Linked DNA regions of Caenorhabditis elegans. The protein of the gene in region 2 interacts with the protein of the main gene of each other region in a pairwise test. Each region holds a gene or a part of one and is shown on either strand. Other genes may lie near its edges. The genes, in order: emb-30 and prx-12.

Evidence for each region.
Region 1: the proteins of prx-12 (region 2) and emb-30 interact in a two-hybrid assay, tested with the Caenorhabditis elegans proteins (one large-scale study listed by BioGRID).

The regions. Positions count from the first base shown.
Region 1 is NC_003281.10:9,430,166-9,447,623, forward strand, and holds emb-30 (Abnormal embryogenesis protein 30), read right to left. Parts: upstream 11,296-17,458; 5' UTR 11,294-11,295; coding exon 11,126-11,293; intron 11,081-11,125; coding exon 10,917-11,080; intron 10,873-10,916; coding exon 10,778-10,872; exon of another isoform or gene 10,733-10,777; coding exon of another isoform or gene 10,511-10,732; intron 10,466-10,510; coding exon of another isoform or gene 10,001-10,465; intron 9,955-10,000; coding exon of another isoform or gene 9,745-9,954; exon of another isoform or gene 9,742-9,744; intron 9,692-9,741; coding exon 9,597-9,691; intron 9,584-9,596; exon of another isoform or gene 9,534-9,583; intron 9,367-9,533; coding exon 8,954-9,366; intron 8,896-8,953; coding exon 8,644-8,895; intron 8,285-8,643; coding exon 8,030-8,284; intron 7,969-8,029; coding exon 7,854-7,968; intron 7,808-7,853; coding exon 7,623-7,807; intron 7,242-7,622; coding exon 6,882-7,241; intron 6,834-6,881; coding exon 6,621-6,833; intron 6,565-6,620; coding exon 6,426-6,564; intron 6,377-6,425; coding exon 6,263-6,376; intron 6,063-6,262; coding exon 5,991-6,062; intron 5,943-5,990; coding exon 5,499-5,942; and 2 more. Other genes in the region: Histone H3-like centromeric protein cpar-1, read left to right, coding at 3,909-4,000, 4,048-4,195, 4,248-4,568, 4,617-4,841; putative 3-hydroxyacyl-CoA dehydrogenase F54C8.1, read left to right, coding at 9,745-9,954, 10,001-10,465, 10,511-10,732; putative tyrosine-protein phosphatase pir-2, read right to left, coding at 11,593-11,880, 11,927-12,425, 12,472-12,596, 12,644-12,779, 13,164-13,195; F54C8.6 (uncharacterized protein), read right to left, coding at 14,244-14,435, 14,761-14,849, 14,897-15,126, 15,923-16,179, 16,372-16,439. UniProt on the Caenorhabditis elegans protein: Probable component of the anaphase promoting complex/cyclosome (APC/C), a cell cycle-regulated E3 ubiquitin ligase that controls progression through mitosis and the G1 phase of the cell cycle.
Region 2 is NC_003284.9:11,385,133-11,398,420, forward strand, and holds prx-12 (Peroxisome assembly protein 12), read left to right. Parts: upstream 1-8,160; 5' UTR 8,161-8,168; coding exon 8,169-8,309; intron 8,310-8,358; coding exon 8,359-8,467; intron 8,468-8,514; coding exon 8,515-8,708; intron 8,709-8,752; coding exon 8,753-8,967; intron 8,968-9,012; coding exon 9,013-9,330; intron 9,331-9,378; coding exon 9,379-9,436; 3' UTR 9,437-9,487; downstream 9,488-13,288. Other genes in the region: prmn-1 (PRoMiNin (5-transmembrane domain glycoprotein) homolog), read left to right, coding at 1-193, 1,645-1,718, 3,653-3,741, 3,798-3,914, 4,011-4,131, 4,179-4,326, 4,383-4,462, 4,509-4,652 and 12 more; slo-2 (RCK N-terminal domain-containing protein), read right to left, coding at 9,567-9,714, 9,777-9,864, 10,135-10,258, 10,314-10,436, 10,485-10,568, 10,612-10,954, 11,217-12,017, 12,062-12,211 and 4 more. UniProt on the Caenorhabditis elegans protein: Component of a retrotranslocation channel required for peroxisome organization by mediating export of the PEX5/prx-5 receptor from peroxisomes to the cytosol, thereby promoting PEX5/prx-5 recycling.

The DNA.
Region 1 (17,458 bases), on a different chromosome or scaffold from region 2:
CTTGAGATCCCACTGGATCTCTGGTTTTCCCATAGTGTTTGTATTATTATATATATTATTAACTTAGATATATTAACTTAGAGATATTACGAATCATTAGGTTGTCTGTGAAAATTTTTCTGGTGGCAGGGAAAACTTGATTAAATTTTCTTTGGAACTTTGGAACAGATACTAATTTTGAAAAAAAAAACACATCTTCGAGGTGACACATCCTTGAGAACAATGAACAAGTATTTTTCTTGTGAAAATATTATGTTAATTTGAAAATCTCACTGGAATTTCTGAACGATAGAGATGTTGTTTCAAAGATCATTATAAACTCTTAAATGTTTATCAAAAGTTTATATACTAGACATCCTAGCATTTAGAGTAATTATGAAATATTTGAGTGGAAAAGTTGCAAGCGACCTTTAAAATTATTTTGCAATAATTATTTCCTGAAGTTTTTACCCTTTGTATCGTTTTTAGAGTTTTTAGTTAATGAGTATATTAATATATATTGGATAGACTTTGACCTTGATTAAACTCTACACAGCAGAGGAATTGATAAAACATTCAGAATGAAAAAGTTAACACTCTTAACACTGTTAACACTTCAAGATGATTATCAGCAATTCCAGCTAAAGGTGGTGTAGAGTCGTTTTGGGCGCTTGATTTATAATTCCCAAAATTGTGTGAAATTGGGAAACAACACAAAAAAACCAAAAAAAACTCCCCACTTTCGAACCAACCAACATCTTTTTTTATTTTGTGATGTTCCTGAACATCAGATTCTGGGCTTTTTAGAAACATGATCCCCCCAATTCACGCATAAACTGTGAAAGTACTTTGATTGTCCGCAGGCGTTTGCGGCTCTTTGAAGGTAGGCAGGCAGGAACTTGTTCTGTTCAGACCTGTTTTTTGAACAGTACACTTTTAGCAAATGTTTTTATAATTTTTTTTTTAATTAAATGATATCACAAAACAGAATTGTGCTGAATGAATAAAAAACACACAATTCGGAATTGGATTACAGCAATCATCAAAAAACTTGCGTACTTCGATAATTCGCAAATTACCACCTTCTTTCTGATTGCATACTTCAAATGTTTGATCGTTGTTTTTAAGACGATGTATCAGTCAAGCTGACGAAAAAAAAACCATCAGAAAAAATTCATTGTAAGCTTAGCCTATATTGTATCTAAACTGAAAAAAAATTTGAAATGAACCGTTTCTGAGGTTGATAAATCTCAAAATTTATATGGTGCTTAAAAATTTTGAAAACTGGTCCGAACTTTGAACCTAAAAGCTTTCAGCTACATTTTTTTCCAAAATGTTGATAAGGCATAGGAGTTCGATTCTGCCAAAATAACACAACTTTTTTTTATAATTTCGAGCAGTCATATGCCTGTCAAAAATAAATTGAACACAAAAAACGCCTCTAGCGAGCGCGGCTAAAATTTAAATTCTAGGTCCAAAAATGTACCCGTAATATTAAAAAAAATTCTCTATCGAATACTATTTTGATCATTTAGAATTTAAATTTTTCAGAAGCCCATTTTTTATTTCATTTGGCTTTAACCAATTCGAAACTGAATCTTAGTTTTTGAGTTCAGTGATCTCCCTAAATATCGGGTTTTACACTTTTCACAACCTTGTATTTTGGCAACAATTTACTGATATTTCTGATATTTCAATTTTTCCATGTATCAGAAAAAGTATGATCAAGTGAACTTTTTTCAAATATTAATGATTAGTAAGAAACGAAATGAACAGTGACTTATTAGAAAAGTGGTGAGAAAATTATAATTATAATTCGAAAAAAACACTGATAGAAACCAAAAACAATGGTTACTGTAACTAAATTTAACACAAAATGTTTTAATCTAACAGGACTATTCCGGGCGGCTATGTAAACTTAATTTCAGACTGTTGTATTATTTTTCGTCAAAGTTATTTTTTCCAGACATAATTACAAAGCAAGTTAGCGTCTTATTACCCTATTTGGATTACATTTTCCGTATACGATCCATCAAATGGCGAATCGAAGCGGAAATTCAGATCTTCTGCAGACACGCAGAGTACGCCTACGTTCAAACTTCCGTCAAAGCAATCTCAAAGCAAAAAATCTCCAAAAAAAGTGATCTCATAATGAGCATCATAGTAAATATACAAATTAGGAAATGTCTATGAGGTGCTTCTTCTTGAACAAATTTTTGCTAAATCTAAATGTATAGTTTAAAAACGGTTTATCCATAATCATATTTAGTATCTACCACAAGATTAGCTTCGCACGTACATTACCTGTTCGATGGTCATCTAGTTTTCAATTAATAAAGAATACGCTTGAAATGTGTTATTATTGGCTTTTCAGGGGAGATTGAGAAGACTCAAAATGTCATTTAATAATAGAAAATTAAATGAATCAGCAATGAATACAATACGGCTTCTGACTTTTTAGCATTGGTTGGAGGAACTAATAAGCCTTCAAGCTACACGGTTAGGAACGTAAAATTTTAGTAATAATTCAGGTTTCCAGAATTCCAGTCTGTCGAGGTCAAAAAGAAGATTGTTCAAGCGACAAATTTATTCAGAACATGAACTTACTTTTTTCGGTTAATACAGGTAAAGAGATTTGAGAAGCCAAATCCTCATTTACTAACGGTGGCTCATTTACTTTGACGCTCATTTACTAATGTTTTCACTTCCGCTCGTTTACTATCGAACGGCTCATTTACTAATTTACTAAGATTTACTCATTTCCTAGAACTAAATTACTTTTTAACAAGAGGTGGCTCTAAATTTGGTGATTTTTTTTCAAAGTGAAACTCCTATCTTTTCTCAATAGTAAGTAAAATTAAAAATGTGTCCAAACCCTAGGAATATGAAATTTTATTTCAACTAGGTTACCAAGAGACTTTTGACTTTGAAATTCTATTCATTTAAACGTTGAAGTGAAGTGTTAAACGAATGTACCACGCACTTTTTGGTAATTTACCAAAACAGGGCAGTATGAATAAAATCTTGCATGCAAGACTGATATAGGAAATACGGTAAATTACTATGATCCTTTTTCTTATATTTTTGATAAAGCGAAAATGCCAAACTCAGCTTGGGCTCCTACATTCATTTTAACACTCAACTTCAACCTTTAAATTAATAGAATTTCGAATTCAAAAGTGTCTTTGTAACCTAATTGAACTGAATTTTCATATATCGTTTGAGGTCTAAATACAAAAATTATTTTCTCTCACCGAAGTACTTATATATATATATATATCGACTCGTGAGTTTCAACAGTTCGTCTCTTTAAAATGTTCCCCGGTTTTCTGGAACCAAAAAGACCAAAAAATAAATTACAACACTGATTCAACAAATAAACAAAGAAGAACAAAAAACCTTCCGTTCATTCAATTTTTATTATTTTATGAAAGATCAACAGAATATTTCAAGAAAAATTTCCGTTTTGTTCCGTTTGAAATCAAAATTTGATTTCTTTTTGGTTTTTTTGAAAAATTCGCTTTTTTGTTTTTTGTTTTTTGGGCGGAAATTATTTTTTGCAACAGCCCTGTTCCCTGTTTAGCTAAAAGTATTATTTCTAGACCTACTTTGATAATCGTCTTCCGCGCAAGCGGAAATGGCTGGCGCATCTCTCGTGTTACTTGCGCATTTTCTTTTCAAAGTGCGAAAATTTGATTTTTCTTCCAGAATTTTCTAATTTTTGCTGATTTTGTGACTCTCAGATTATTTTCACCGGAAATATGTTTTGCCATTTTCGTATTTCAATGGTTCTCCTGCCGCCAATCGTTCCTTATTTAAACTGCGTTCGTTTTTATTGCTTCTTTAATTCCTTTTAACCTTCAAACAAATTGTCTTAATTTAGCTTCAGTTTTTTAAATTTTATATTTTAACAGGATAATCTTCGAACAATGGCCGATGACGGACCAATTATTGAGGAAATTGCCGAGAAGAATGGGAGGGTGGCAAGGATCATGCAACGTCTCCAACATGACACACAAAGGTAATTATTTTTGTTTTCGTGCTACAAATTAATGTATGGTGTTTCAGAGTCACTTCAGTGCCGGGCTTCAACACAAGCGCCACAGGATACGCTGACCTTATCGCTCTTCTGGATCAGTATAAGAACGACCTTGAGGCTGTTGGATTCAACGACTTAGAGCAAGCTCGAAGAAGAGCTCCTTCTGTGGATATTACGGTTAGTTTCAAATTTGTGTGAGAAATTTCAAACAACATAATATTTGTTTCAGGTCGGCAGTAATTCAACTAATCTTGTCGATTACTCCCACGGCCGTCATGATATGCCCTCACACCGTCGACACGATAGCTCCGATGAAGAAATCACGGCAGCCAACAGTCACCATCAGTCACCAATAAATGTGGGGAATCGTAATGACACGGATGGTACAAATGGCAGAAATGGAAGTAGAGCTGGTTCATCGAGCTCCGATCGCGTGCGGATGATAGCCGGAAGGAACAGAATCTCGAAAACGAGACGTTATAGACCGGGCCAGAAGGCATTGGAAGAGATTCGCAAATACCAAGAATCTGAAGACCTTCTGATTCCAAAGGTATATATTTTTTACTACATTCCACATTTAAACAATTCCAAATTTCAGGCTCCGTTCGCACGCCTCGTCCGCGAAATTATGCAGACTTCCACTCCATTTTCCTCAGACCTTCGCATTCGTTCTGACGCCATCAATGCTCTTCAGGAAGCATCGGAAGCACTGTTGGTCCAAATGTTCGATGGTTCATCACTCATTTCCGCCCATTCCAAACGTGCCACACTGACGACTACAGACGTGCAGCTTTACCGCCGTCTTTGCCTTCCAAATCTCTGATTAAAAAATTTGCAATACTAATCACTAACTGTAAATTGTTTATTTATTTATATTGTAAAAATTTATTGCATGAAAATGAATTTATTGTATTTAATCACTTGTTCGAGTATGAATAGCTCGAAGCTTATGATAGACTCCTTCGCAGCATCTTTGCACAATGTCTGACAGAATCTGTTTGGCCCAGTGATAAATTGCCCTGAAATTGAAACCTCTTGTTAAAAAGGAATTTAGTTCTAGAAAATGAGTAAATCTTAGGCGAAAATTCTTAATTTTTTTGGAAAGTTGTAGTTTTGCAATCAATTTGAATGTAGGACTTTTCAGATTTTTTTAAAATTTAAATTATTACTTGCACCTTGTTTTCAAGCGACGTTTTTTTCTACGCCCTCGTAAGATATCAGCTTCCTGATTATAAAAAATAAAGATGAATTATTGAAAACTTGAAAACTTTGAAACTCAAGCCTTACATTTGCATCAAACTAAAACTAGAAGAAACGAGTTTTGACTAAAAACACGTTTATAGGTGCCCGCAAAAAGCAAAATGAGATTGTAAGAGGGAAAGCCAAGAAAAGAAATGCAATAGATTGGAAAGGAGAAATAATTTCAAAGTAATACGAAATATAAACATAGAAATGCAATAATTTATCCATCGATTGGAAACTAAATGTCATCATCTTCTTCATCCTCATCTGATTCTCCATTATCCGTCAAGTCACGTCCACTATCCATAGCTTCTTGAACAAGAACATCATACTGAACATCATTCATGTTCATTACTCCCATATCTTCCCGATATCGTTCTCGACGTCTCTGATAGTCGCGGAAAGTTTTTCGAACAGTCTTCTCCTCATAGTCAGCGATCGGTGGAACCTCTGGTTTCATGTCTCCAATCGTGATTTTACTTCCGTCATCGTGAAGATAGGCAGCCAGTTGAATTGTTGGATGAATTATTAAGGTTTCGATTGGAATTTCTGAACTTCCATCTTCAGAGCTATTCTTTGCAAATACATCTTTATCTTCTGGGATTTCATGAGGATATGAAGATATTGATCGCATCATTTGTGACATCACGCCAGTTCCTTCCTGTGCGGATGTGAATTTTCCCTGAAAAATGTGATTTTGTGGAATCATAGTAATTACTAATCAAAATACCAATAAAACAAGTTCTCCATGATGAAGGGGGTGAACTTGACTCAATTCGATGAGAGTATCGTACTCAGGTACCTGAAAAAAATACGTTTAAAAATTTTGTTTTTTAAATCGAGGCGCAACAGTGCTCCACTTTCAAAAAAAAATGAGAACGCTCCGCCCCCAATGATTGGGTCTCGTTAGGTATTGACGGGAAAACCGAAAATTAAAATTTTTTAAAGCATTTTTGTGATGTTTTTCGTGTTTTTCATAATTAAAATTATCCGCAAACAAACCACTGGTCCAAGATCCACATCAATTCTCAGCTCGTTACTATCCACTTCCATTGCATCAGTTTCCCCTGGTGGTCTATTCTCGGCGCTCGATTTATCAACTGTGACATCAATTTTCTAAAAAAAAAAGCTTATTTAAATGTGAAAACTTTTATATATAAAATACCTCAAACTCATAGCATCTCTTCAGCTTCTCAACATGATCGTTCACTTCATTTTCATCTTCAGGCAATACATCACTCGTTGGTACAATGACGATTGAGCTGAATTCATTCTTTTGAAGCACAGACACTTGAATTGATCGTCTGAAATTAGAAATAAGCAATAGTCAAAAATATTTGGCTTTTAATGAAAAGATTACCCCATTCCAGATAATTGATTAAATGGATGTCTTTTGTAATATGATGGAGTGACACTGCTGATCTTTGCGTCTTGATATCCTTGATGGGTAGGTGTTGAAGTAATTTCATAAATGAATGAAACTTCCAACTTTTTCTGATTTCCAGCTTTATCACAATGAATTTTCTGAGGAGAAGATAGTGTGGCAGCCAAATCTTCAAGGACCCGTAGAATTCTAAAAAATTGAATATAAAATTATACTAGTCAACTTCCAATTTCTCACCCCATTTTCTGAATCTCTATTGAATTCATACGACTTCCTCTTTCATTCAGAACACAATCGAATGTTTCATCGCATTTTGGAAGAACTTCTAGCGCTTTTTGTGACAACTCTTTCTCGAAAAATGAGCCAACTCTATCCAAATCACATGCAGGTTGTGGTTCTCCTTCTGGTTCAGGCTCCTCATCCGGTTTTTGCTCTTCTTGCTCTGGCTCTCCTTCGTCTTCTTCAAGAAACGGGGAAGAATCATTTTGTTCCATCATACTATCAGTAAAAATGTCAATAGGATGATCCAATTCTTGAAAAAGCAATGGAGTCAAGTCGTCATCATCTAGATCGGCAAATCGGAACTTTTCGTGGAATCTGAAAATATATAAATTACAAATTGAAATTGGAATATATTTGAAAAATAATAATTTTTGGTAGAAAATTATTGTGGTATTTGATATCAGGGTGTCAATAAATCTATTATCTTGGTGAATATAAAAAATTGAAAACTGCTGTAAGAGCTTCAGAGATTTTTTTTTAAATTTTACACCAAAATTCTTAAAGTTCTTGATTTTTGAGGTTTTTTCGGGAATCTTATGATCCAGTAGCAAACACGATGCCTCGGGTGTTTCCAACAAATCTGGGGATTATAGGGGTTTTTGGCATCCTGATTCCAAATATCTCAATAATTTTCCGCAAAAAAATTCTGAGTTTCAGAATACTTCAAAAATTTAGAAGTCATGTTACAAAACATACGTTTCGATTAATTTCTTCCTTTCAACTTCGGCAATTCTCTCAAGTCTATAGAGATATTCAACCTCATCAAACTTGTCTTCCAAATCTTTTTTCTTTTGCTTCGAAACCAACTCCTTGAGGTTGAAAAGTCTGTTTTCGATATCTTTCACTGCTTCTGGATCCGGAATGAAATTTCTCACAATGTACTGAAAAAAGTGTACTGTATAAAAGTAAAGGATATAAATGGCTTACAAGCAGAATTTTTGCAATGTTCATTCTTTTTATTTTCATCAAAGCATTAACTTTCATCGTTTTTGCAAATGGTTTTGTCATGGATATCCATTTGACGAGATGTCCAAGTTCTTGCCTGAAATTTGGTTTTTTTAAATTATCATTATTGTCTACATCTAGATCGTCAGATTTCTTACATCATAGTCAAGCATTGAATTCCAAGATGACGAGTTTTCATATCAAGAATATTGATTTTCTCTTCCAAAGTGTTCAGCCAAATATTCGATTCTGACAGGTATGCTGGCGGATCCTCATCATAAAGAAAACTGTCGTCATCTTTCAATTGAATAAACTTTGCATAACGAGATAATGATGTCGAGAATTCACATCGCTGGAAGCACAAATTTCGGGCTGACGTTGAGAGTTGTCCCCGAGCAATACGACAAACTTCCCTGAAAACCGATTAAAATTAGTAACAAATAATATATTCCAGTTGCGAAATGTTGCGCTTTTTACGACAAAACTACCGTAACGGGTCTCGAAACGACGAGTTTTTGTTAAATGCGAAAATGGTGTGTACCTTTAAAGAGTACTGTAATCACACTTACATATCGGGTTTGCTCAAGTTTTTTTCATGATTTGTTTAAATTTTTTTGTTTTAATTAAAAAATTTCTTAAGGAAAAACTTTTTAAAAAATCAATTAAAATTCCGCTGTGTTCTTTAAAGGCGCTCATCTCTTTGCATTTAACAAAAATTGTCGTGTCGAGACCTTCACCCAAAAATCGCAACATTTCAGGTAATATTACATACGGCATGTGCTTCGTTGCAAAAAGCTCAATTTTATCCAATCCATCAGTTCCGAGACCTCGTTCAAGAAATGCCTCGCCAGCCGCATCTGTCGACCCGGAGAGCAGCATTTCGAGAAGCACATTTCCAATTTTTACAGCTTTCGTTTTTGTATCGAATAATGAGTGAAGATTGTCTATTTGCTCTTCCCAATTTCGTTTTGTAGTTTCCAGAGAAATGCTGTACAAGTTGAAGCCAAATAGAAGGCGAATGTATCTAAATTTATTTTTAAAAGTAAATTGTTCGAGCTTATCGCAGAAATTCAAAAGCTTACCTCAGCGCAGTATCCCAAAGCGACGAATTAATATTCAATTTAACATTGAAAAGCAGCGTATGACATCCTTGGCCATCTTTTTTTGGTTCAGCTCCAGGAGGCTTCAACTCATTTTGTTTGCAGTCCAGAAATGGCCCATATGTAGTGGCGAGAAATGATACGCCACCAAACGCTGAACTGTAGTGCATATCGTAGAGCATGAGAAGGCTTTGATTGTATTGTAGAAGTGTGTCACTGATATCAATTTCCATATATGGGAACACACCAGCAACAAGTACAATAATCTTCGAATCCATGTCATCAGTTGCTAGAAGGATCGTATTTTGAAGAGATTCACGGAATGTTTCAGTTGAAATCAGAGTTCGCTCGAGACTTTCTTTATGTGCATCTTCGTGTTTGAAAGATGAACCATCCTGAAACAAAATTATTGAGGAACAGTTTTTTTTTCATTGAAAAAAGTCAGATTCTGTCGATTTTTTCAAATTTTAATTTCGAATAGTTCATGTGAAATTAATTAAACAATTCCACGGAAAATACCACGTCAGTAGATCTGATATGGTCGAATTTGATTGAAAAATCAATTATTTCTCTCAATTGTTTGTTGCAAAACACGTCGATCATATCATCAAGGTTAGTTTCTTACCTCATCAAGCCTCTGGTATACGAATGCGATTTCCTCTTGACTGATGTTCGGTGTCGTTTCTGCCAATTCGATAGCTCCTTCGATGGCTTCAACATCTGAAATTTTCGATATTGATTAAGGAGTCTCTAATTAGAATTAATTTCAGATGATGTTCACAGCAAAGTGTGCCATGCAAAACATCAGAAACGTGGCGATCGTTGGATCAGGGCAGATGGGATCGGGAATAGCTCAAGTTACGGCGAGTAGTGGATTCAATGTGATGCTGGCCGATGTTAATAAAAAAGCACTTGATAGAGCGATGAAGGCAATTAGTCAAAGTGTGACGCATCTTTCAAAAAAGCAAAAAGGAACTGATAAGGTATATATCGTAATTGTTTGAAGATTCTCATTCTTGTTTTTTCCAGGAAAAGTCGGATTTCGTGACTCTCACAATGTCACGTATCAAAACGTGTAACAATGTGTCAACCGCCGTTGCTGATGCCGATCTGATCATCGAAGCCGCCATTGAGAACATCGATTTGAAGCGGGGAATCTTTGCCCAAATCGAGCAGTCTTGCAAGAAGGATTCGATTTTGACCACGAACACTTCATCGTTCCTTCTTGAGGATGTCGCCAAAGGATTGCAAGATAAAACTCGCTTCGGAGGACTCCACTTCTTCAATCCGGTGCCAGTTATGAAGCTTCTCGAGGTAATTCGATCTGATGACACTTCGGATGAAACATATGCAACGCTGATCAAGTTTGGAACAGCTGTTGGAAAAACAACAGTCGCTTGTAAGGATAGTCCTGGATTCATTGTCAATCGTCTGCTTATTCCATACTTTTTCGAAGCAGCGAGAATGTATGAACGAGGAGATGCATCAATGACCGTATGTTGATTTTCAGCTTTCTAAAAACTCCAAATATCGTTTCAGGACATCGATGAAGCCATGAAGTTGGGAGCAGGACATCCAATGGGACCATTCGAGCTGGCCGACTACATTGGTCTCGACACGGTCAAATTCGTCATGGATGGATGGGCAGCAAAGTATCCAGAAGTACAACTATTCGAAGCAAGTCCATTGGTAGATAAGCTGGTTGCCGAGGGAAAACTTGGAAGAAAAACTGGTGACGGATTCTACTCGTACAAGAAATAATAGGAAAGATTACTTCTGTTTTTTGATAGAATAAAACATTCTTACTTTTGATTCTTGTAGTGAATTCTCCAAGATTGCTTATAAATGGCTTCTCACGAACACAATTCCAGTGGAGTTTGGCGATTTTTTCGGATGCAGCTCTGAATTTCAATAGATATTTCGAACTATTATATAGATCTCTTACTTGACTGAAAATCGAACTTTTCCCGTTTCCACATCTAACAAATGTATTATGCCTTTACTTGTAGCTGCTGCGAGAAAGCGTCCATCCGGTGAAAAGTGCAATGCAGAAACAGAGCTGTCCAATTTACATTCGGTTCCGACAGCTTGAATCATATTGATATTGGTCTGAAATATCCTGATTTGATAATATTTTTGAAATCTTCCTGTTACCTTCCAAATCATTTTCCATGATGTTCTTTTCAACAATATTTCGCCAGTTTTCGATCCAAGAGCGATGAGATCATTTTGCGAACTGAAACACATACTCGACACTTTGAATGGTGTGCGGAATGTCCGCCTATTATTGAGAATTTGAGTTTTGACTATTGAAAAGTCCATCTGAAATGAAGAATCGATAGTAGGGGTGCCTGGTCCGTAGCTCGAACAGGTATTCAATATTCAAGTCCTAGAAATTTGAAAGAACACAACACACAAAATGGAATTATCACAAAGTTCATAAAAATTGATTAATTATAACAATATGAATAATGTGCGTAGTGCACGTTTAAAGTCAGGTACAAGAGTGGAACGATAAAAGATCAAAAGTTGAACAGGGAGAACATTGTGGAGACGAAAATGATTGAGCAAAATGATTCACAAAGTCTAAAAAATTTAATAGAAGAACGAAGCACTGCCTCCTAATCTCTGGCACTGCCGTGACTTAATGCGACCTCTTCTCGAATAGCTTGAATTTCATGGAATCTTCCGCGTTGCATAACCTGCATGTACTTTTGCATTCTATTCCTTCGTGCACGTCTTTTAGATGATACTGATTGCCCTTTTCCTGGTTCTGTTTCCGTCTCTTCTTCAATCTCTTCAAAGTCTTCCTCGAACTCTTCTTCTTCTTGTGGTGTTCCTTCTGACGGCTCAGGTGGTGTATTGGCTCCGTTTGCAACAGGTTGATTGAGTTGAGCGTATTTCGATCTCTGCAAAAAATTACTTGGTGAATATAAAGATGTGATACTCTATTACCTTGATAGCGAATCCCCAGTGGTGCGGTTGTGGTTGTCCTGGGTCCACGGATACTCCGTTTGGTGAATTTTGATAGTCGGTTCCAGATACGCTGGCAGCTTGACTTCCCAACTCGCCAATAATTGTATTAATGAGCACAATATTTTCATGTTCCACAATTTCACGGTGTTTTCTCTTATTCTTCTTCTTTCTTTGGCGCTCAGACGAGTCGGAATCCGAATCCACTTGTTTATCTCGCTTGTCTTTAGCAGCCTTGTGCAAAGCCATCACATATGCTCCCTTTTCAATCGAATATCCTCTGGCTTGTTCGAATGCGTCAATTGCTTCATGTGAACTCCATCCAAGCCGGTCAATCAAAAAACGGCAGATCAGATAGCCACATCGATTAATACCATTAGTGCAGTGTACTCCAATCAAAGCATCTGGATCGTCGCATTTGTCAGTATAATCTTGAATTACTTGATGGAAGGACTCAACGCAATCATCTCTTTCGATAAACCTGGAAGTTAATTTTATTAGTTTCAATACGGTATCTGGTGATTTACCCTCTCCCAGGACAGTTGACTTTCTCATATTGTACACACATGCCAGTAATATCCTTTTTATCATAGTATCTGTCCGTGTCTGATAAGTCGACCACTAATCCAAGGTACTGACCACGTTCCGATAACTGAAACAAAATATTGTTATGTAGGGAAAACAATGTGTCCAGTTTACCTGTCGAAATAAATCATTTGTTGTGAATCTCTGCTCTTTATGAATTTTCGTGGATAACTGACTGTTGATTGGTGTCTTGAAAACAATGAATCGGGTTCGTGGAATGACATTGCCAACCGGTTGAAATTTAGACCAGCTGAAAATAAAACATGAAACTTGAGGTTAAAACATGTAAAGCAATAACAAGTTTTAATCGCTCACACCTAACTGAAATCGTGTAGGGCAGCGACTGCAGTGGTTTTTGAAATTTTCTCATTCAAATCATTTCAACTGCTCTCTCAACCGCCAACATACACGCATGTTCCTAATTTCTTTATATTTAAAACGAGACGAAGGAATATAGGCGGTAGTGAAACGGAGAATCAATGCAATGACCACAAATGTTATCGAAAATATAAAAAATATATCAATGCCAAATCCAAACAGCGTTTCATGGAGTTTATCTGGCCTTCTGATCTGGCAGTCTCCAAGAAAAGCTTCAAACAAGACCAATAATAAACAAAAATAATGAAATGCTCACTCTTTAGGGACTACTCGGCACACGCGCACCATTTTTACTCAAAAGGGCAAGACGAAAACAAACGGAAAAGTATGGATTGGGTTTGATACGCGTGCTGAATAGTCGAGTAGAAATTGCCAAATATTGCCGTCCGGGACTTGAATTTTCGGAGAAAGAAGACGTCGGGCAGTGACTTCAGATGATGTCGAACTCGGCTTACTTTCGAAGCGACCACAAATCGATAAATTTTGTGTCACAGAAAGAGTGCGAATTACGAATTGCGGCAGAGACAGCAGCCGCTTGCCAATCGATTGCGCGTGAGAGAGTGCGAGACGGCGCGAAACTTGGCTGCCAGCTGTCGTGGTGAGATATCGCACAATAGGAATGCAGTGCGCCTTTAAAGAAAAACGAGCGGGAGTTTGAACTTAAGTTGTTTGCGACAAGCATAGTTCTAGTCTGTTAAATCTAAAATACAATTCGTTACGTTGAGTATTGACAAAGAACAAAAATTAAAATTATAAGAACATTTTATTTGGATCAAGTAGTAATTTATGCATAAGAAAATAAGAAATATGTACAAATTAGAAGGAGTTCGGTCTGTAATCAGATGAGAATCAGAATTGTTGTAATAAATGATTCCTGAAGAAGTGAAAAACTGAAAGATGAATGGGGGAGAATACACAGGTTAGTAAATGCAAGGGATTCATGCGGGATGGCTTTCTTCAGGCAATTTAAAAGATTATCAGGAAAAAAGACTACAGAATTTCAAATTGTCACACTAGTGAGGTTATTAAATATTATCTCTAGTTTCTTGCACCTCAATAATTACTCAATTTTTTTAAATCTCGGGCATTGTTTATCTCTTATTTTCCAGTTTAAAATTAAACAAATCGTGATACAAACTGAAAAATTGGAATCTTGAGGTGCAAGACTAAATGTGACAAGGGATAATATGATGGCTAATCTGGAATTAACAAATATTTAACTAATATGGATACTATTGGGAAAAACTATTTCATTTTTTTCACAACACTTTATTCCATTATGAACTTTTTTTAGAACTTTGTGAAAAAAATGTGATCGTTATTTCCAAATAGGATCTTACCACACATTTTGTGGAGGCTCTAAATAATCATGTACAGAAGTGAAAACTCCGGCAATGGCCCCTGCAATAGTTGCAATTGAACTGAGAATTAAATGAATAATTTGATGGAAAAATTGAACAACAAAATGTAGAAGGTGGTTTATGTTTTCTCCGAGGTTTTCTCCAAGCTCATGGAATCCAAAGAAGACCTGAAATTTGAAATTGGGAGAGATACACTTACAATAGGTCTACATGTCCGAATATTATAATAAAAGTTTCATATTTGGTTGGTTTTGAGTATTTTAATAAAAGTTTTGCGAAATTGCCAAACTGTTGGAAATGTTGGGCTTTAGTAAAACTAGAAAAAATCCAGCAAAATGTTAAACGTTTTATTAGGTTATTTGAGCACATTAATGTGATTTTCAAGGATTACTTTTTTAATCTAGAAAGGACTGGAGCGGCAAAATCTCAACTTCTAGAATTGGAACTTCACGATGCATTATTGACGTGTGCTTTACTTTTTATGAAACGTACATTTTCGGACAATCCATGCCAAATTGCAGTGAACAAAGTTCCAAACACAGTGAAACCTTTTGAAATTGTTTGGAAGAATTCGGAGATTGCTGAAAATGCCATGAGATTACTGTAAACGAAATAAAATCTAACTTACTTATAAACATTTCATCAAGCAATCCACTCATAACTTTTGGTAACTCTTCAGACAAAACATATGGATCCGGCTCACAAAGAGCATCAAACAATGGTGAGAATGGTCCGGAGAAGTATCTACAGAAGAATGATGGTTGTGTAGAAACACCACGCAAAAGTTTGATAAAGGAAATAAATGTGATTCCGAAGAAGAAAATTGCAAAGCCCAGAAGGACACTCGGGAAGTATTCACTGAAAATTATTAGAATAAATTATTGGAATTTAACTTTTTTGGAATGAACAAATGTTTTGAAAGTATATTAATTATTATAGATTTTGTCTATTATTAGTGTAGGGGGTTCAAATAGGCAACTTTGCCCAAACAATTTCCAAAAGGCGAAATCTTCCAAAAATTTTAGCAAATTACGAATACGTTAACTGAATATGTTTAAAAAAATATCTGACAAAAATGTTGAGCTTTTTATTATGGGATTTGGTCATGTGTACTTAACACCGTTCTGCATATTAATGACTATTTTTTCTAGAGAGCACCCATATCAGAAGGGAACCCAAATGTTTTTATAATTTGGCAAATTACCAAAAATGTGACTGGAAGCATTAACAAAATTTTGAACAATATTCGAGGTTTCAAAATCATGATATTTTAGATATTTTGGACTGTTTTGAGTCAAATTGTTAATGACAGCATTTTAAGAGCTCCCAACACATAGTGTTTCCAATGTTATACCCAATCAATAATAGCAAGTCAATAAACTACCTCTACACTATTTCTGGTAATAGGCGAAACCTCTACACTGTCAGTCACTTTGTAAGGTGTGCCTATGTATTTCCATAATATTTCATACAAATTGTTCTTCCGAGAACATATACTAAAATTGGAACAATACAGAGAAGATTAGCATGGCCCCTGCGCAAGGATGACACGCAAATTCGTGAAGCGTTCCAAATTTTTTGACTAATTTCTGGTATTATTGTTTAGAATTGTAAGAAAATTTTACATTCCAGAAAATGTATCCAAAAAACTTACGCAAACTCGGAGCGTATAGTTGCATGAAGTGCTGGATCCGAAATACGAACGACAAATTGTTGATACTTTGCTTTCAAACTCTCGTAATAAGGCATCACAAAGTTCTCAATTTTCTTGCAAGTAGTACAATCCGATGGTTTTTCCTCCTTCACTTCGTCCTCATTTGGAGCCAGAATTTCAATTTCTTGCACAACTGAGCTAGAGGGTGTAGGCTCTGGGAGCCCATTTGTTGGGATTTCGACCACTTTTGGTGCTTCCTGTAATACATAAATTAGTTAGGAAGATGAATACAGTTTAGGAATATTGTATTTATAACAACGAAATATATTTTAATTTATATTTAATTCAAAAAATTTGAGCTTTATTAATTTGAGAGTTGAATTAATAAACAAAGTTACAAAAAATTCGTTGCTATATTTTTTTACTTGAAAAATATAGTTTTGACATACTTGAATAGTTACAGTTGGAACGAGAACCATGGCGGGAGTAGTAGGTTGCTCTTCGCTGCTCGTCGAAACTGAAACATCTCACATGAGTTTGAGTTGTTCTCCTGCTCTTTTTCGCTCTATTTACAATTGAGACACACCGCATAAGAAGAGTAGGAAATTGTCAAACAAAACATACGCACAGTATTTCTCAGGTTGCTGCTGCTGCCTTTTCTCAATTCTCTCCTTTTCATAAAACTTTCCAAAAAACTATCTCAGAAGTACAAAGAAAGTAACAACACAAAGATGAGTTCTGTTGGAGGGAGAAGCAACGGGAGCAGTGAACCCGAAGAGCACAGAAAAATTGGCACCATGCCAGAATAAGCCATGAAAACCTATAGAGTATACGAGACAAGGAGAGCGTAAAGATGTTGAGAACGTGTTAGATGATGACGTAGATAGGAAAAGAGAAACGTCTTCTGGATGAGCTCTTCTGATGGATGAGCTTTGAAATATCTTCTACTTTTGATTGGTTTTGTACTGACTTTTATGCACAGATTTCAAAAAGATTCCAATCAGTTTTGAAACATGCAGTTTTCGTATAAACTTTGTATTTTAAGATGGAGTGGCGGCAGTAAGAAAGTTGTCTAAATACATTATTAATCCAAAATTACCAATTATCGTGACTCGAAAATGATTTGGCTTTTGAAAAATTTTTTCTGGTATATTTCCAAATTTACGGGAAAATGGGTATTTTTGAGTAGCTTAAGCACTCTCATATGTTTACAACACTACAATAAAAGTTTTTATGAAAAGTTTCACTAGAGACACCACGGATTCAAGATCTGGTAGATTTCCGGATCTGGAACAGTGTCAAATCCGGAAACCGTAATTCGGCCAGATCTTGAATTCGTGGTGTCTCTTTCACTATGTTGTTTGGTCATGTTAGCACTATTACAGCGTTTCCAACAGTTTTCCCACTGGCGCTCCATATGTTATAAGCATTACGGTAGATCAAAATTCAGAAATTAGTTGGCAACAAATCTATAAACTATTTTTTCAGAAATTTGGCAATTCGCCAAAAATGTAGCTGACAATTTAGAACAACTAC
Region 2 (13,288 bases):
TTCTACTTGACAATAATTGTCGGGTTCACGTGTGCCGACTTGGTTTTTTCACCTTATAAATCCGCGGAGCAATACAAATGTGGAAGTTTTATGGAAGATAGGAATGGTCGAAAGGCTGATGCCGTTCTTAGTTTTTACTACACTACAATCGATCAGTTCATCACATTTGTCTCATACCCTTTTCCACATCAAGGTAAGTCATTAAAAAATCATTTTAAAAATAAACTTAAAATGCCAGAGTTTTACTAGTCCAATAAAAACTGTCAAAAATTTAGTACATTTTTCATTCTCTGTTTTTTTTTGGCATTACCATCCGCATTAGTAATGCGAACCAAATCGAGAGGAAAATAGATGTAAAAGTGGATCATGAAGAAAAACCAGCCGGGATAATCCCGCGTTTTGTCCGGCCATGTTCCGCTTCAACTATTCTTAGTTTTTAATTTTATAGTTTGATACAAATGAAAACTACATCACAAGAAGTTTAAACATTCAAATCCCTAGGGTATATTTTAATGAAATTTAAAAACATTCATGAAACTTTTCCAACCCAATATTATTTTTTCGAATTGTTATGAAACTATATGTATGATGAGAAACCGACGATTTATGTACAAATGAGGTAATCCTTTTTCGTGTCTGCGTCGATTAGTATCTTCGCAAATCAACTCAGCAAACACTTGAGACGGACCCCCAAAGCGCCCTGGCGCTCTTTCTTCGAACACGCATATATTCCACCCAAACCACCACAACATTCCGTAAAATTTTGATTCACGCACTGAAGATATATCAGAGTTCATAATAACCGGAATATATTATTTTTTTATCAGAACTGTCACAAAAACTAGAACGTAAAATGAAACGGTATGAAAATCTGACCACCTGAAAAATATTCCAAATAAATTCGATTTCTCATTATTTTTTTCTCGAAAGACCCATTATTTCACTCGGCCTCTTGATCTAATACACCTATTCCGGTTTCCAACTGACATTGACACATTTTTGTGTATTGCATCGACACTCAACCTAACAATTGGTTGTAGAGAGAAAATTTCAAGTGCGATCGAATTTGTATGGCAATAGAAAAAACACAATGAAATTACATGACTAACGGTGTTAACTAGGCAATGGAAAAATATTTGAAGAATATTGAACTTTTTCTGCAAATTACATCATAATTGTAAAAATTGAGAACATCGGAAATATAATTCGACATAACGGTTTCATTCAATTAAACCTGACTACCAGTAATTGAGCTTTGCAAGTTCGAAAGTTTAAGGGTACTGCAGGTATTTGCAATGCGCAACAGTTTCTGTGCTTCGCGGTATGTTACAATACATTAAAACTTTGCTAGTACCCCTAGGAAAATATCGGTTATTAAAAAATCTCGTAGAGAAAAATTTAAAAACAGACAACACTGATAAAATGAATAATTTTTCCTCCCAAAAAACTAATCAGAATCTTAAAGTTTAAGCACTGAGTTTCGGCAGTTTCGCTTTTTAATTCCTAACTTTACTACTTAATATTAACTGTTGGCAAAAATTCGGTGTTTGAATATTAAAAAAATTTCGAACACATATGTATTTATGTTTAAATATGTACATGAACAAGCATTTATTTTATGTATCCTTAGCCATATTTTTCCAGAGCTTCTGAACGATCAAGCATTGACTGGAGATCTTGTTGAACTTCAATCTTCAGTTGAAAAGAAGTATTGGCAGGTGGGTCACAACATACTTTTGGTTGATTCTCATCGGAATTGAAGCGTCCATTGTCTTATTGCTTACATTCCGTGAGATGCTCTCTTACTCTTCTTTCTCGCGCGTACCTAAATCCTTCTGACCAACACAAGCTTAGCGTAAGTGACCCGTAGACTCTAACTGCTATTCTCAAAACTTGATTACGAACCGCGACCCCCCTTTCACCATCACTCGCGCCAAAGTATGTGTATGCATATGATAATAGGATTTGGAATGAACGAAAATGCGGAATTCCTTCTCTTAACTTGCCGAAAATGGAATTATGTTTAGTACATCCTGTGAAGAGAGGGGGGAGAACTTGATGAACTGGACACGTTGGTCATAAAAAGTTTGGGCGGAGTAGAAATTGAAGGGGAAAGCGGATTTATGAATATATCACTTTATTGGTGTCTTATGAACCGTTCACAAAGTACGAATCGGGTCTAGGAAAAGCAGGCTAAACGCAAAGAAAATTTGGTTTTATGGGGCCTAATAGATATTTATGGGAAGATTGTAACGTTTTCAAAAGTGGAATAATGCCACATCCAAGATTTTTGAAAAAAAAAACAAAAATTAATACAAACTGAATGCATGTTCCCTGAAGATTAACACAATGAATTTGTTTTAAAATTTTAAAATTTAATATTGAACGTTCACATTAAAATGTATTTTAGATATGAAAATGGCAAAAGATTATTTTGAACTGTTTTATTATTTGTCACACATTCCGATTGTTCAAAATACATTATTAGCTTTATTTTGTGCAATTTTAGGATGTAGTTTATTTGATCATTTAACCCAGACTTCATTCCGGAGACTAGCGCGCTAAACCAATGAATCATTCATTATATTCCATTGGCTCCTCATTCATCACTTCCAGTCGGATGAATCACCTCTTTCCGCCAACTTTTTTCGGCTCTTTCCATGTGAAAGATATAAGGAAACAGAAACTTTATAAAAACAAGTGGACTGTGGCTAGTGTCGCAAGTGCAAATAATGACGATGTTAAGCGACTCGGAACTGGAATGCGTGGTGTTGGTAGTTGTGGTCAGCGATTGCAGTGCGCGTGTATAGCTCTTTTCTTTCATCCATTCAATCGGCGACAAAGTATCAGATTACGCATGTTTCGCAAAACCTAAGATTCATGCGTGAGAGCCGCGCTAAGAAGGGAAATGATTGAGTTGTTCAAGTGCCATGAAAAGTATTAGGGACAAGTCAAAAATAAGGAAATTTGAATTTGATGTACGGAACTATAGCGCGCTGGTGCGTATGCTTCATCAAGTTTGCCAATTTTCATATCATCCTTTAATGGACAAGGTTTTCAGGCTTGGCTAAAGTGAATACAAGGGACATTAAACGAGTATATATATATTTCTCTGTGCAAATCGATTCTAACAATTTTGAATGAATTCTTTGAATATGGCCATTTGAACTTTCTATCAAAACTGGTAGTTGCGCATGACATAACATGACATTTTTATCTTTTTCCACAATCTCCCAATCTTACATCTGTTTCCTAATTTATGAACAATTAAGAAAAAAACGAGAGAGAACAGTTTGAAAAGATGATAGCTCTTTTTCTCCTTCTCTTTAATTTTCTTGGTTCTCTGTTTTTCAAACAGCTATTTTGAAAATTTCTATCAAGAGCAATAGCATTAATTTTTACAATCAAAGACCAAAATGGGTAAAGAAATCGGAAAAGAAAAATGTTTGCATTTTACACAATGTGCGATCTTCGGGTGAATTGATTTAGGTTTAGGGTAGCCGGCGAGCACGAAAAAGCGAAAAGCAAAGAAACTATATTGTTGACTACCTAAGAGCACTTTTTCAACAGTCCAAAAGTGGAATCTTCAAAAAAGATAAAATAAAAATGAAAATACTTCAATGCGGAGATTAAACCAGTTTATTTTTTTCAGTGGATCGAATTTCAAAAAGGATGGATTGTACTGAGCGTCGGACTTGTTGCGATAAGTGTGCTCTTTGTGGTTTTTTATTTCTTCTACAAGTAAGAAACAACTAGTGAACTTTTACAAGAAAATCAATATTTTTTTTCAATTCTAGGTGCTGCGTGTGTATTTGCTCTCGATCCTCTAAAAAACAGAATACTGATGCAAGATATGACGGATGCAAACGAAGCATGTGCAATCTGTTGTTATTTGTACTGGTCAGTGCGAATGCGTAAGTTTCTAACCATTTTTATTAATTTTGAAGAGCATAAGAAAAGTTAAACACTATTTCTTTGACGCGTATGTATTAATTTTGATTACTTTCTAGGTTTGTTGCTTTTACCCTGTTAATGACAAGCCAATATGCTCAAATTGGTTTGGATAAGCTTCCAAATCGGATGAATCAATGTGTCGACGATTTGCAGTCATACAAAAGAGACAGTGATATGGTAATTTTTGTTGTTTTTAAATGGTTACTTGAATTTTATAATTACAGAGAATACGAAAGTTGCTCATCGATGATTACCAGGTCCTCAATTCAACCATTACCAAACAACTATCCACTGCCGGATATAATGTAGTGGACCGCGTCAAAAAACTGACTGGCGCACATGTCATTGACGTTTTCATGAACATTAGCAAAGGTAAGGTCATATTTATAATTACGAAATGTAAAAAAAAACACATCGGTATTTTTTAGTGGCGCAAGAAATGCACGATGGGTTGGAGTCAGTTCATGGAAAGGTCAGATTTCTAAACGAAGAAGGTTCACGGTTTGAAGTACTTATTAAAACTCTTATTCTCAGTTTAATTGTAATATTTTTAGGCTGAGTTCTCACGATTACGAAATACGGCTAATGAAGAGCTAGTCAAGTGTCTTGAAAATGAGCTCGAGCCGGTTAGAAGCATGTGTGCAAAAGCAGAACGACTCCTTGAGAGTCTCGCTGTCACTCAATTCAAAATTGACCAAGTGAGTTGTACTAAAGACGGGGCGTTTTCTATAATTAAAAAAAACAACACTTATTTTCAGAAATTCCTGCCCGATGCAACTGAGACCGGGCTTTCCGAAATTGTCAATGCGAATATTACTCAAGTACTCGCTGCATCCAACAATCAATTTGAGCAATTAGAGAGCAGAATACAACACGAAATTGACAAAGAAACATATTGTAAGACAATAACACTAGAAATGTTATACATTCATATATATTTTTAAGCCGCTCAAAATATGTTGAAACAAATCGGAGATGATCTGTTTCTGGTAGCTGAAACAATTTCGACTCAATTGCGCAAAGTAACATTTGAAGCTTTGTATAGCACTGTTTCTTATGTATCGGACCCTAAAAAAACACCAACTCTCAAATACATGCAATACAGGTAGGTCTTATCAGAAAGGTCTACAAATTTGATATTTATGATCTCAGTTTGAAAACTTCCTTTTTTGTTTTGTTTTTGTGAAACCAATTATTTGGTATTATTAGAATAATATTGCCAAATTTACAGCTGGTATGCGTCTCTTGTTATCACAAGTTTGTTTATTCTCCTGGCTCTCATTTTCCTATTTGGAGTTCTTTATGGAATATGTGGTCGACGTCCAACTTATTACAACGATGATTGTTGTGTAAGAAGCACTGGCGGAAAGTTTTATTCTTTGTAAGTTTTATATTACAATTAAATTAATCATAGGTTTAAATTTCAGTGGAATTGGGGCTTTTCTTCTTATCTTTGTCTTCCTGGCAGTGGGAACTTCTGCATTGATGTTTGCTGTTGGAAACTTCTCAAACTTGGTGTGCCAGCCCATGAGAAATCCCTTGAGCCATCCGGAATCGTTATCGGTTGGTTCATCTTTGTTCTCCCAAGTATAAAGATTTTTGCAGCTTGCTGATAGATATATCAATCTTTGGAAAGCAAATCACACACCTGAAAATGATATCGAGGTTACTCTTCAGTCGAAATCGCCGGCAGAAATTATTAGAGCGTGTTCAAGAAACGAGACGCTGTACAACTTTTATGGATTTGACAAAAAGTATCATTTGAACAAACTACAGGTACTAACAAAACTTATACATAGATATGTTAAATATAAATTTTGCAGGATTTTGAAAAAGATGCATACAACCAACTGCAAATTTCCTTGCGAACAACTATGGAAAATATGCCGGAAATTCGTCCGCTTGATGCATTCATTTCAAGAAGCGAACTTCGAGATTTGGAGAAACTCGCCTCAGTGAATGTTTCAAAAGTTAGCCAACAAGGCCTGAATGCGGTTTGTAGATTGGAAACATAATTGAGCAATTTTTAACTTTGAGTTTCAGATAAAGCATGCAATGGATGAACTCGACTTAGCATCCAAAACGCGGGAATTCGAGGAATCTCTAGACGCAAATTCGGGTCGTCCTAAGGCAGTGACTCTTGTTCTTGAACAAATCAGAGAGTTAGAGATTCAATTTGCGAAACCATTAAGGAGCAGATTAGAGGCATTGTACTCTAACATTACTTCACTCGATGAAAAGTGAAAATTCTTTAAATGTTGAATTCCTATAAAATACTTATTCCAGACTTTCTCAGCTTCAAGTTCCTGTTTCTTCTCTTCTTGTAAAGCTTCAGCATGCTCAGGCTTTACTGGCTGAAAACATGAGAGAGCATTTCGGTCGTGCAGCTAAAGAAGAATTCCAACAAATGGTTAACAACATCGACCAGTACATAGTTCATGTCAAAAGCCAGGTAATAACGCAAAAGTGTTTCAAAAAATTCTATAATTGCTTGACTTTTCAGATGGAGAGCGAGGTCACGTCATGTCAACCGTTGACACAAATTGCCCGGCAAACAACTGCTGCTGTTTGTGCTTACACAATTGATCCATATGTAAAAATGACACAAAAATTGGGGAACTGTTTTCAATTTATAATTTCAGAACGGGACATGGATGTGTATGCTGATCTGCCTAGTTCTGTTGATACCAATTGTGATAATTTCAAACTCATTAATAGGTTTATACTCTAAGATGCACGCGTTCCCAAAATAGTAAGTTTCACAATTTTATTTAAAGAAAAGTGTCACAATAACTTTAGCTTAGCCATTTTTTCGAAAAATAACCCTTAACTTTGCAATTTTGAATATAATTTTATATATTTCAGCATTGTGGAACCACCATCTGAAACACATCACATGTCATCGTTCATTACCGATACATATGACACTAGGCCTAAGCCGTAAGTTAGCATATTAATATCAATTGGAATATTTTTTGAAACTACACATTTTGAAATGATCTTTCAAATACTCGGTATCAGAAATAAAACGAGTTCAGTTTGAAACACAAAAACCAACAATAAAGATCAAAAAGTTGATGTAGCAAATTACCAACAAATACTGTTTTAGAAAAATTTTGCATTATTACAAATGCGACAAAAATGTTTAATGTTTGCCAGAACCCAAAAAATATTAAATAATGAAAAAGTAACAGCCCTGCTATTGAAATCTGGATATGAAAAATGTTCTAAATATAAATTCAAATGTTTCAAAAAACTATTTTTTTCAGTGGATACGCAAACTACACCTACACAGATGATTATCAACGTAATTATCGATGAAGAGCCTCAGAAAATGTATTATCACAATTGCGCCTACTTAATTAAAAAATGCATGTATTTATGTCGACAATTCAGTTGAAATTTTCTTTCATTTCATTTGATCGCACCTAGAATCTACGAGTATCATTTTCCCATTATTCATTTCTCCCAGTCCCATGTTCTTTTTCTTAAAATCTACTCAAGTGAACCGCTCAATTCTACGCACACAGTTTTTCTATTCAGTGCCATTTTTGCATTTCCGTTTTTTCCTCAAATTCGATCTTCAGTTGTTTGACTTTTTTTCAGTTTCCGTAACTTTTACTGATAGAATTATCATTTATGTGATGATTCCCCAATTGCGGTTCGTATTTGAATAAAAACATTAAACCACCCTCCACGTTGGTTCAGTTCTTCCAAAAGCGGATTGAAGTTGATAAGAGTTAAGATAAGAACAAATGTTGCGTGCAAACAATTCGTGATTTATTGTTTTTATATTTAAAATAATGTATATAGTTGTCCACGTTTTGGTGTCTCTTTAAAAAAATCATAAAGAACTAGCACGCACCGTAAAACTCACTACAAATAATTGAAAATCCCATTTATTTATTATTCATGCATTTATTAAAGAGTCGTTATTTTCATTGTATTTTGCATCAATAGATCTACAGTTAAGAAAAGCAAAGGTTACATTGTTGCAATTCTAACCCTCCACATTTCAATTACTATCTAATCGTGATAAGACAAGGACACACTACGTCGTAGTATGATACGGACAGTGTCCTCGCTCCTCCGGCAATCGATGGTCGTGTTCAATCATTTTCATATCTCTCCTTTTTTTTGGTTTTATTTGTAAATTTTAATGAGTATAATCTCAACAATTTCCTCTTATTTTTAACTGAAAAATTTAGGAAATAATGAGTACGACTATTCGTGCCTCGCAGCTGGCTTCGTCAATTTCTCCAAAAACTGAAGAAAAGCAGCCATCGGTTTTTGATATAATCGCTCAAGAAAATCTTGCAACATCAATCAGACCGGCTTTACAGCATCTTGTAAAAGTATGTTAAGAATAAAAGTGAAACGAATATTTGAAATTGAACATTTCAGTATCTAGCATTCTTCAAGCCAAAAACATTTCTTTCGGTTCACCGAAACTTTGATGAATACTACATCATATTCGATCTCATTTTGCAAAACCACTATTTGAGAAACTATGGTACGTTTTTTAATTCCAATTTTTCACCTAAAGATAATGTGTTTCAGGAGCGTCGTTCACGGAAAACTTTTATTCTATGAAGCGAATAGCATCAGGCACAGGAAATCCACCGAACGATGGTAGGGAAAGAATAATGTCGCTTATTACATTAGTCGGATGGCCTTATGTAGAGAATAAATTGAATCAGCTTTATGACAGGCTCAAGGAAGTTTACGAATGCAGAAGCTGGTCATCAATTAATGTATGTATAGACAAATAAATTTGAAATATCGTTTATAATTCCAGGGCATGAAAGCAAAGTGTCAAAAAATGTTTGTGATCATTTGGCCATACATCAAGACAGCTCTTAAGGCAGTGAAAAGTGCTCTACAACTTGCATACATTTTGAACCGCAGCTCCATTCACTCGCCATGGCTTTACTTCTCAGGCGTGATTCTGAAACATCTTACGCCAGAAGACTTGGAAGCTTTCAATGCTGTTCCTCTTCATCTCCAAACTGGGTATCAAATTTCTAGAGGAACATTAAACGAACATATTCATTTAAGATTCTTCAATCGCATCTGGAGATTTATTTTGGGACTACCTGGAATCGTTTCAAGGCTCTTTGCTTATGGGCTCTTCTTTGTACAGTTTTTGGATTATATGTACAACACAGATTTGGCAAAACTTACAAAGACTGGCCTTGACGGAGCTATTCCTTCACCTCCACACAAAATGATCATATCTGAATCGGAAATTTTGAGTTTGGACACCAATAAATGCCCAATTTGTTTGAAGAAAAGAGTTAATGATACTGCGCTTTTTGTATCTGGATATGTATTCTGCTACACATGTATCAACCAATACGTAAACACTTATAACAAGTGAGTTTTCTTTATTTTAAACTATCAATTATTTGAGAAAAATTTCAGATGTCCAGTGACAGGATGCCCGGCAAACGTTCAGCATTTAATCCGTTTGTTTGTATAGCGCTACAAATTTAATTTTGAATCATGTTACGACAAATAAAATTACAAAAATATTCATTTTTAAAACACGAGCAAATATTCCAGCAAATTCAACTTTTCGTTGTGTTGGGCATTGTACAAAAAACGCAAGTTTACAAATTATTCTCATCAATGACAATTGTTGGGACTTGATTTGTTGAATCGATGGTTTCACTAACATTTTTACTGCGTCTTAGACCCCTTCTTGGGTTAATTCTTGCGTTGGTTGCATCTTTCCGGATTGGACTTCTGATTACGTAGCTGAAAGTTCATTTATGAGTTCTTGATCAAAAATTCATCTGAAATAGAATTTAAAATCGTACACAATATCTCCGGACTCTAGTTCCAAATCTTGAGCAGGATTGATGATGACATATGAGATTTGCGACTTTTCATCGCTTCCTTCGAGCACTGAAATTTAAAATACAGTTCACCACGTCTAACCGCACCAAGAAAAATGATCACACTGAAGCAATTAGAATTAAACTTAAAGAATCTTCAACCTTATTATGAAATGAAATAAAAGTAAATAGTAAGTATTAAAGTAAGTTTTCTAATTTTATTTTGTCTGCTGGTTCACACCACTCTTCGGCTTATACCTGTTGATCTGCACCGGCTAGCATATTTCCAATTGACTAGAAAGGGTTTAAAAATAGAAAACTAATTCCGAATAAAACTTACAAGTATGAGTGTCTTTTATATTAAGAAGTCTCATTCGATTTTTCACATGATCATACATATCTTTGTTTCTTCCCATTTCAGTGTTTTCAAAATCTTTGCATTGTTCTTGAAGATCAAGGGATACCTGAAAATATTAAAAAAAAAAACAATTAGTCGATACTGAGCAGATTTGTGTTTACCGTCTTAGTGTCCATCTTTTTGGTTCTGAAAATACCGATAGGAATATCAGCCACAGAGGAGCATAGTTTTTGATACAATCGTCCATAATTCCGAATCCATAAGTCATCCGATGTGATAACAAACTGAAATATTTATCACATGAAGGTTCACTGCAATTAGTTTGATTGTACCGAAGTTAAATATCCGCCATCACTATGTTGATCAATTCCAAGAAGAAGTCTGACTAGATCAACCACAAACGGTTTGATAATAGCCTGAATATATTACGTTTGAATATGCGGAAATTAAAAAATTAACCTGATAAAGTAATCTATCCAGCATGTTAGCACTAAAAACACCTCCTTGTGCAAATGGTAGTCGGAACATGAACGGCATATGAGAGCCACGTTTTCGTTCCTTTTTTTCAAATCTGGATTGAGCCAATGAATAAGCATTATGTGGATTGAACTGCACGAATCGCATGTTTGTCGCATGCGTCAATTCAGTGATCATTCGAAGTCTTGGGAACATTCGATGAATCTTTTGAACTGTGATAATTGTGTTACAATCTGCAGTATGCTCCTCTGCCATTACAGCTGTCTCCTTGACAACAACCACATGCTCCGCACTGCTTACACCAGCTCGGAGAAGGCAATCCAAACTGTAAGATGATGTATACTTATTGACGAACATATTAATGAACATGATAATTGGTCATCACTGCAACTCCCGCCAGACATCCGAAATTCAAAGACGAGTAGTTTATTATTACATTAAACTAAGGAATAAATAAGTTAGTTCACAGAGTTCACGTTGTACGATCTTCTTAGCCACGTCGTGGGTCAATACACGTTGATACCCAACAATAATAGATAATTTATTTCATGTATTGTTGAATTAAATTTATAAAAACATTCACTTACTTTCCAACTTTTCCCTTCATCCAATAAACATCTGGGAAATATGAGATTGCATCCAAAAATGCATCATTCAACGAATCTTGCTCTTCCAACTCCAAAAGAATGATGATCGGATGTAAATCATGCACTGGTCTGTAGTATGCTCGAAGAGGAATAACTAAATTGTACATGCCACTGCTGGTTCTATCCGCCGCAAGAATAATTGGCCGATTTCTCCATTGGTACTCATGCGCAGAAGTAGCAGATTTATGAGCACATTTTTCATCAAGCTTTAGACAGCAAAGCGACCGACGCTCTTTCATCATGTGGCACACAGTATTAGATGTTCCAATGTATGTTCTCACTTGTGGGTAAGTACGCTGAAGTTTATGTTGTATGCAAGGTCCACGGCATTTGTCGCAAATCTCTTCTTGATCAGAATCGGACGAGCTGTCAATTTTCCCCTCAGTAACCATTGCAATTGACGGGCGACGACTAGATTGAACATGTTCTCCAACTTCAATTAAGTGGATCTCATCTGCAGCCTTTTCCTTCCTCTTCTTCTTTTTTCTGCCAACTAACTCGGTTTTGTCAGATCTTGGTACATCTACAGCTACCGTTCCAATATTTGCAATAGTTGATGCAACATTTGCACGTTTTTGCTGGCTTCGGATGCCTTTTCTAAAGTCTGTCAGTGACTCTTCATTGGTCAATCCCATATAATAAACTGTATCAGTTGGCTGAATGATGTGAGAAGATCCTGGGTTTAACTTCATACGTGAAGTGTCCCCATCCGGAGAAACGGCAATCAAACCGATTCCGTATCTGAAAAAGAAAATGCTGAAGTTGCAAATAAGTGATCAACTAACTCTTTATGCGCGTGGAAACTTGTGCTGCTAAATGACTTTCCGACATACTCACAGAAAAATTTGCTGTCTTGAACTTTAATCTGGTACATTTCGTTTCCAGAATGAAATCCATAGACTTTGTGCCACGGTTCGGTAGATTTCTGGCCTTCCCTAGAATGATGACATCATTAAAGATTTTATACGAAATTAAATAAACGTACTCTCCACGAGAGGTGTGCATTAAAAGTGTGATGAAAGTAGAAATTCCCGGGCAGATGCAATTGTTTGCAAGTAGAGCGTATTTAAATTCATCCTCACAAATTAAGACTTCTGAAAGAATGTATGTAATCATCGAGAAAGTAGTAAGAATCGTTTAAAGTTTAAAGAAATACTGCTAATTTTGAACCTATTTTTCTCTATTTTGAATAAGTTTTCTTCGTGGAGTCATACCTGCGTGCTCAATATGCATCTTGGTTTCTGCTCTGAATATTTGCACGTATTGCTTGACATTTGGAGCAAAATCTTTAATAGCCCATGACCGAAGAATTGTGTGTTCATCTGTGGCCACTTTTCTGTTGACATGTCTTGCAGACAAAATGAAGCAAGCTTTTGATGTTGCTACGTTGGCTCTGAAAATTCAATTACCGACGGAAGAACGAAAACAAAAATTGAAACCTCTCCAAGTCTTCATCTCTTAAAGAGCTTCCACGAACGTAATGAACCCGGTTATTCCAAAGAGGAATTTTCAAAAGCATTCGTGTCTGGTTGTCTAATTCAGCTGGCGACAACAAAACAATTTGAATTCTCTGAAGAACAAAAATTATTTTAGAACTGGTGTGTTACTGAAATACCTGGTTTTCGGGGTGGGCGTAGAATTCTTCCAAGAAATCACGAATGAATTCAACTTCCAAAGTAGTGATTGTCACAACAACATGAGATTCCACTCCATTCCAACTACTAAAGTCAGTTCCAGATTTCTGACGTTCAGACCATGTTTGTCCCAGTTCGTCTAGTTGTTTTGGAATCAATCCCAATGCAACGCAAATCAAAATGACAACGCATAATTGTGAAGCCCAATAGTCTGGATACCAGTCACCATAGCCAACTGTAGAGAATGTGACCATTACAAAGTAGAAAGATGTGAAGAGATCAATTCTTTTTCCACGAGCACGTTGCAAATGTTCAATGCTACACATTCCGGTAAAAATGAGGCAAGCCAGAACTGAGAACAAGAGTAAAAGTTGACGA